Linked DNA regions of Arabidopsis thaliana. The protein of the gene in region 2 interacts with the protein of the main gene of each other region in a pairwise test. Each region holds a gene or a part of one and is shown on either strand. Other genes may lie near its edges. The genes, in order: IAA29 and AT4G12210.

The links.
Region 1: the proteins of AT4G12210 (region 2) and IAA29 interact in a two-hybrid assay, tested with the Arabidopsis thaliana proteins (one large-scale study listed by BioGRID).

Annotation. Positions count from the first base shown.
Region 1 is NC_003075.7:15,581,621-15,585,701, reverse strand, and holds IAA29 (indole-3-acetic acid inducible 29), read right to left. Parts: upstream 2,371-4,081; 5' UTR 2,224-2,370; coding exon 1,964-2,223; intron 1,780-1,963; coding exon 1,451-1,779; coding exon of another isoform or gene 1,440-1,450; exon of another isoform or gene 1,346-1,439; coding exon 1,255-1,345; intron 1,150-1,254; coding exon 1,074-1,149; 3' UTR 804-1,073; downstream 1-803. UniProt on the Arabidopsis thaliana protein: Aux/IAA proteins are short-lived transcriptional factors that function as repressors of early auxin response genes at low auxin concentrations.
Region 2 is NC_003075.7:7,280,701-7,283,791, forward strand, and holds AT4G12210 (RING/U-box superfamily protein), read right to left. Parts: upstream 1,220-3,091; coding exon 608-1,219; downstream 1-607. Other genes in the region: AT4G12220 (uncharacterized protein), read right to left, coding at 2,548-3,039.

The DNA.
Region 1 (4,081 bases), 8.3 Mb from region 2:
GATTCGCCGAACCAGTCAAAATGAAGTGTCTAAAGACAGAGAGACACCAATTTAATAAGAGAGTTATGAGTCCAAGCTGACGTGGAGTGATTAGAGCCGTCGATCTGAAGAGACAGATAGAGATGCGAAGGTTTGGTTTGTGACCGGGATTGACGGGAGCCGTGTGTCCGAGAGAGACTCAAGTCTGAACACCGAACGTATCGGTGAAGATGTCTTTTCTTTTTGTTTTGTTTGGTAATTAAATAATTTTCAATTTTTGTAGGGATCTTTTTACAGTTGTTTGATTGTTTCATTCATAACTTTAGTAGATCTAAAGTTGTGTTTCTCTAAATTTCACTAAAATATCTATTTTCCTTATATAAAGATTATGTTTGTCATATTATTTAATTTAAAGATTATAAACTTATGATATAATTTTATGCAAATTGTAAATATAATAACCATTTTAATAAAAGATTTTCTTATATATCATTCATTATTGATTAATATTTTAATCTAAATTACGCATTTTAAGCTAAGATCAATAATATTCATTTTAAATTTTGTTATCAGCTATTCAGCTAATTAAATTGTTTAAGAAATGTATCAGTTTTTATGTCATTTTTTTTCTGTTTACTCATGCTTTTTTTTTTCCCCTTGTTTACTCACAATTTAAAATCGTACTCCGATCTAATTCAAACCAAAATTTAATTACTTGGAAATCTCTTGAATCACATAAAGTGACATACTTACTTGTGTAAAACCCGGACGTCCGCAACCATTACATTCTTATGGTTTCTCAATCAAACAAGTCTATGAAAAAAAAATCAATTCGGTACACACAAAAAGTCTAACATCTTAATTATTATCAGCTAGTCTGTCTTTGACAATTCATGAGTTTTTTTTACTTTTGAATTTTCTTTAGCTTTTTGTCCATGTGTTAGCCATGGATCAGATAACAACAGATTATAAACCATTGGATTTGATACTAAGAACTAGAAGAATAGAGGAAAAAGATCGAGTGGAAATTTAATCAAATGATAGACATTTTAATTACAAAATAAAAAATAATGGTCCGATTTGAACGCCTATCCTTAAAACAAACATCTTGTATATGCACACGGTCGATCTCTAATTATTGATATCCGATGAACAGATTCCGCAAAGATCCTACAAAACCAAAACAACAAGTTAAGTATCAATATATAAGAAAGAGAGTATAGTAGTCATTACTCAATAAGTCATTTTTCTTGAAATATAGAGAAGTAAACTTACTTCCATGTAACATCCCCTCGAAGTAGCCAGTCACCCTCTTTCCCTTGGAAGGTGAATGTATAATTTGTATCTTCTCTGTCGCAATCTTCATCTGATAACCCAAAATTAGATTCAATAGTAGTAAAAAGTTACGTTCTATTTTCAATTGTTTATAGGTTTCTTACTCTAGATTTTGATAAACGTAATTAGTACTTACATTCGGTAAACATAGTGATCAAGGAGTTAGTGAGGGACTCGTAAGAGTTAAAAAGCTTGATATCCACTTTTCTTGCTATTGCCACACCATCCATCTTAACCTTAACATACATTGATGATCTTGATGATATTGACGAAGAAGATGATGATCCCACAGTAGCCGTTGTTGGATTAGATATGTTGTTGTTCATCGCCGTGATCCTCCTACCACGATGATGATACGGGCAATGATGGTGATTACGAATATGACGATGATGATAACTACCATACTTTATCATACATGTTTTTACTGGTGGCCATCCAACAACTTCGCTATTTTCCTCCTCATCACTAAATATTAAAATTAATTATATGTTACAAAAAAATACAAATTATGCCTCTCCATTGAGTTAACTACAAGTCTACAACATCATAACATTTTTGAAAACTACGGAGTCATTTATTATATAATAATACTAGATGTAACTACTTTAACCTAATTGTTGTCAAATACTAAAATAGTCAAGGTACTCACTCGTAAACTATTGAAGACTCGGATTCCAGAGGATCTTCGTCTTCCTCGTTGGGCTGGCCATTCAAGGCAAACAAACGCTGTTTTGGCATATAACAATTTTCCTCCACATTCCCTAACCCAAACGTCGCCTCAAAACGCAGTTTTTCGGTACCCAAACAAGACGCAGCACCCTCGATCGCACAATGCTTGTTGAGGTCAAAGTTAAACCCTAACTTGGAAGATTTATGAGGTGAAAGAGATAGACCAAGATCCAACTCCATTTCTAAGGCAGCTTCGTCTTTGATGAAACTAAAAGCTTTTGTTCTTTTATTATTGGCTTTGGAAAAGGTTGTGTTCGTTGGTGTTGATTGCTGAATTAGAGGATCATGAGTATTCCTATTTATAGTAAAAGGAAATGGGGGCAGAGGTCAAGGAGTAATATATGGCTTTATCAAAAATATACATATATATGTATATAATATTATGTACATTTTATGTAACCCACACAAATATAGATGTGGATAGATGGTATCTTAACCAACACGCTACTATTTATTCTAAACAACTAAAACAGTAATCATTCAAGTATTAGAATATACTAGTAATTTATATCGTTAAATTCTGAACTTTTAGTTCTATATCTTCTTGGCCCATAATATAGAACATATAGTTGGCTAGGATAATTATTATCTTAAAATGTTTCATAGTAGTATGTAAATCTAGACCCAACATGACTGAAGTAACGTTTCACCAGATAACTTATCTTTTTACGAATATTCATCTCTATAAGATCCAATGAAGTACGAAATCATATAGTTTAGGAAGTAACACAAAACCAATAGTCTATACCAAAAACAGGTGATACTAAACAGTTTTAGATTTTCTGATTTTTATGAATATATGAAATTTATGGCTTTCACGTTAAGCGAAAGGTAGTGAGGAAGTTCCTAGTTCTCCGAAGGAAAAAGGTCTTTTGGGAGAGAAGTAATGGCTTCCGACATTGATTAAGTTCGGGTCGGCCAATATCCCAACATTGATGCTAACACATTTTTACATTATTTTATCTAAAGTTTTATGCTTTTCTGCTTTAAATACATCTTATAAATTTTATTTTTATATTCAAGATCCACCTTATCTACACTGTATAACAAGTTCTCACCTACTTTTAATTTCAAATTTTGATCAAAACATAACATTATTACAAACGATTATATCATAAATTCCGCTCATTATATAATGAGCAAAACTTGCAAAATAAATTTATGGAAGGATTTACGGCTGCTAACTTGTGTTAGATGTGCGTCTTTAATTCATACTTTTGGCAATATGACAATCAACATATTTTAAAAAAAAAAATTAAGCATGTACTAAAAGAATGATAAAGTGCATCTATACTAAGAAATAAGAAGATGCATATTTCGTCAAGAGACACATGATTCAACGAATTTAGACATCCAACATCAAACCAACACGAATATTAGTAATAGACAAGTTTGGTTAATGTTGGAACGGACAACGTCCCATATTTTTGTTTACATTCTATGTTTCCAATAGAAAATTTGGTTTCGCACGGAAAAGGTGGAATTTAAGAATCATTGTATACAATACTATAAATGTGATACTTAAACTGATAACTGTAAGTAATACTCCTAGCAAACTCTGATTTTTCAGCTTGTCATAACTTTTGTTAACCTTTTAAGAGACAAAACTATCACTAGACATTTATAGCTTGACTCACTATACAAGTATTGACTTCATCAGTTGCAATTTTGTGGGGAAGAGTTGGATCAAATTATGAATAAGGGCTATTAAGTACGGTTTGCCTATCCTGAGGTACTTTGCTCTATATGGGAAGGAACATAGTTATTACTTTTTATAAACATAAATTTTGACAACTGTTGTTTTTATTGTAACCAACAAATTGAGGATCTTTATAGCTTATAGTTTCTTTGGATTGATTACGTAAACTAATTGAAACGACTAGTACCTCCTCCCCTATTTGACTAGGATACAATCATACAACGTAACAGGTTGAATTGCCGACATATGATTTTATTAAAACCAGTGTTTAAAAACTGATATTAGACTATCTGGTCGAACCAAATTCATTTATAAACAAAATAAAGCAACACAATTACC
Region 2 (3,091 bases):
AAGGAACATGCTTATAAAGCACAAGAAGCATCTGTTCCAAGAAGGAATAATGCTTGAGCATTTTAGGAAGAATTATACTTTGTGGGAAGTGCCAATGTATGTATCTCTGTAAGTGTCAATATTTCGTAACTTTGATTGGTGACTAGCAAATATGTTGAAGTAGCTGAAGTATTATCCAAAGAGTTGAAATTGCATAAGGATATTATAAAGACACACTGCAGAAGGACTTCATGTGAGAGGTGAAACAATCACATTGAAGAAGACACATATGAATCATGATTTAATTTCAGCAACAGCTTGATGAAGGGTTTTGGTTATTTTGTTAAGAATTTAAGAGTTGCAACTTGCAAGTGAATAACTTAAAACCGACAAAGTTTGTAGTTTTTTGTTGTGATTAAAAACTTCTCTAATTGAGTAAAACTCTTAAAAACAACAAATTACATTCAATTTCTTCAGCGTGTGTGACACAAAATTAGAATTTTTTTCTATCGAAAACCCTAATTTCAATCTTTTTCTAACTTCTAATGGAAACCATAATTTCAACCTTAATACGAAAATTACATGAAATTTTCATACATAAAACCCTAATATCAATCTTTGGTTCCAGTCATCGATCGTAGAGCTCCGTCCGACACAGGGGACAAGTGTTTTTACGCATGAACCACTCCAAGAGACAGGGATTGTGGAAGACATGAGAACAAGTCATGCGTGTGAGGTCGCTAGGTTTTGGACCGGAGACTAGATTCTCAAGACAGATTGAACAAGACTCTGTTTCCATCTTCAAACTCTTCAATTCCTCTGCTTTTATCCTTCCTAGTAGAACTATCCTCAAAGATTTCTTGTTGTTTGACGTTACCGAGACAGTCCGGTAAGTAACTGTGACGACCACGGTGATGGTAAAACCGTTTCGTCCAAAACCTAAGTCGATAGCCGCCGTTGAGATCTCTGAGGCTAGGTCATCACACAACCAATGGTGGCTAGCGAATCGGGTACGGAGAAGTGATCGGATGTGGTCGTGACTAGAACTACTGAGATTGATAGTGTCGAGACAAGATAGAGTAGCCGGAGTGGACCGGCGGGTTTGGTGATCGGTTGTTTGGTTTACAAAGATCTCTTCAGATTTGGTATCGATCTCAACGATGACTGAGTTTGCATGTGATGGAGAAGAGAGTTTCCTTTGAAGATTGGTGAAGCGAAATTCCACTTTGCGAGAATTCATGTTTTGAAACGGAAAGAGAAACAGAGAAGTAGAAGAAGAAGACTTGGCAAATCGTAGTGACTAGCGAGAGCAAATTGAGAGAGGAGAGAATTTGTGAAGCTTTAGGGTTACGTAGTGAGGATATATATACGCGTCTTCAACGTTCAGATATTTTAGGTTCTAGTTTCCTTTTTTTCTCTGTCACCTAACAATTTCCTTTTTTTTTAAGAAGTTTCCTTTTTTCCTTTTTAACAGTTTTATTTGTAGAGTTTGATTTGAAGGGGTTTTGGTTATTACTTATTAGTTTAAGACTTAGCAATAATTATTGGTAAGTTTTTAGTGGGTTCTTAAATTAATTTGAGAATAAAATTAAATGCTAAAGGATGTATTAACTTAAGAGGGCCTCTTATACAAGAGGCGAAAAATGATGGTAAGAGACGATGATGTGGCAAACTATGTGTGGGCCATGGGAAAATACAAACTTCATTCTACGAAGACTAATATCTTAAGATGTGCAATGAAAACAAATCAAAATCCTTGAAAGGCTTAAAGCCACAGAAAAGTAAATCAAACTAGTTTCAATACCTCTATGTCAAGAACTCAATGCAATCCAGAGACTTAAAAATCATACTTTTGTTGGCGACTTGATTAGATTCTGCTGGGATAATAAGCTCTGACTGCAAATTGAGGACGAATACTTTATTGAGCAACACATGTACTTCCAAATTGTATTATAGCCATATTTAGCTCAATACACTCCCTGTAACACAATATAAGTAGGTCTCAGCCTCAAAGTCTAGCTTTTTAACTCTAAAAATGCAGAAAGCAATCATTTTTTTCTCAAAAATTTGTTTTGATTATGAACTCTTAAATACCAATTATGAATCTCTTTTATATCTTTGTGTCAATACACCAAACACCACCAATTACTTCATCGCATATATTCCTTCTCTCCACAAAACCACACATAAACCAAAATCATATCTTTTTTTTTTTAAGAATCCTAACTTAATATACTATCATTGAGGATGACTAAACTTAAAAATCTTACCCAAACTCTTAACTACCAAATTTTCAAAATCTATTCCTAAATTATTGCTAAGAGCCATTGTTAATAACCTCCCATTAATGATGGTCCAATGATCTTATTTAAAACCCTTAAAAGCACAAAATTACATTCAATTTCTGGAAGCACAGAGCGAATGAAACAAAATTAGATTTGAAACCTTAATAAACAAAATCACATAAAATTTCCCCAATATAGAGCGTACGTGTGACACAAGTTATGCAATCAGTAGATGAAACCCTAATACTTTCAATTCTTAGAACAAGTCATGCGTGGGAGATCGCTAGGTTTCGGACTGGAGAGATCGTGGAAACAGATGGAACACGACTCTGTTTCCATGTTCGAACTCTTTAATTCCTCTGCTTTTATCCTCTCTAGTAGAACCATTCTCAATGATTTCTGTGTCGTTTGAAGTAACGGAGACGGTCCGGTTAGTAACTGTGACGACCACGGTGAAGGTAAAGCCGTTTCGTCCAAAACCTAAGTTGATTGCCTCCGTCGCGATCTCTGGGGCTAAGATATCACACAAAAAATGGTAGCTAACGAACCGACTACGGAGAAGTGATCGGATGTGGTGGTGACTAGAACTACAGAGATTGATAGTATCGAAAAAAGATGGTGAAGCCGGAGTGGACCGGCTGGTTTGGTGACCGGTTGTTGGGTTTACAAAGATCTCTTCAGATTTGGTTTCGATGAAAACGAGAACTGAGTTTGGTTGTGATGGAGAGAGTTTCCTTTGGTTGATGAAGCGTAATTCCACTTTGCAATATTTCATGTTTTGAAACGAAAAGAAAAACAGAGAAGAGATTCAAACAGAGAAGAAGACG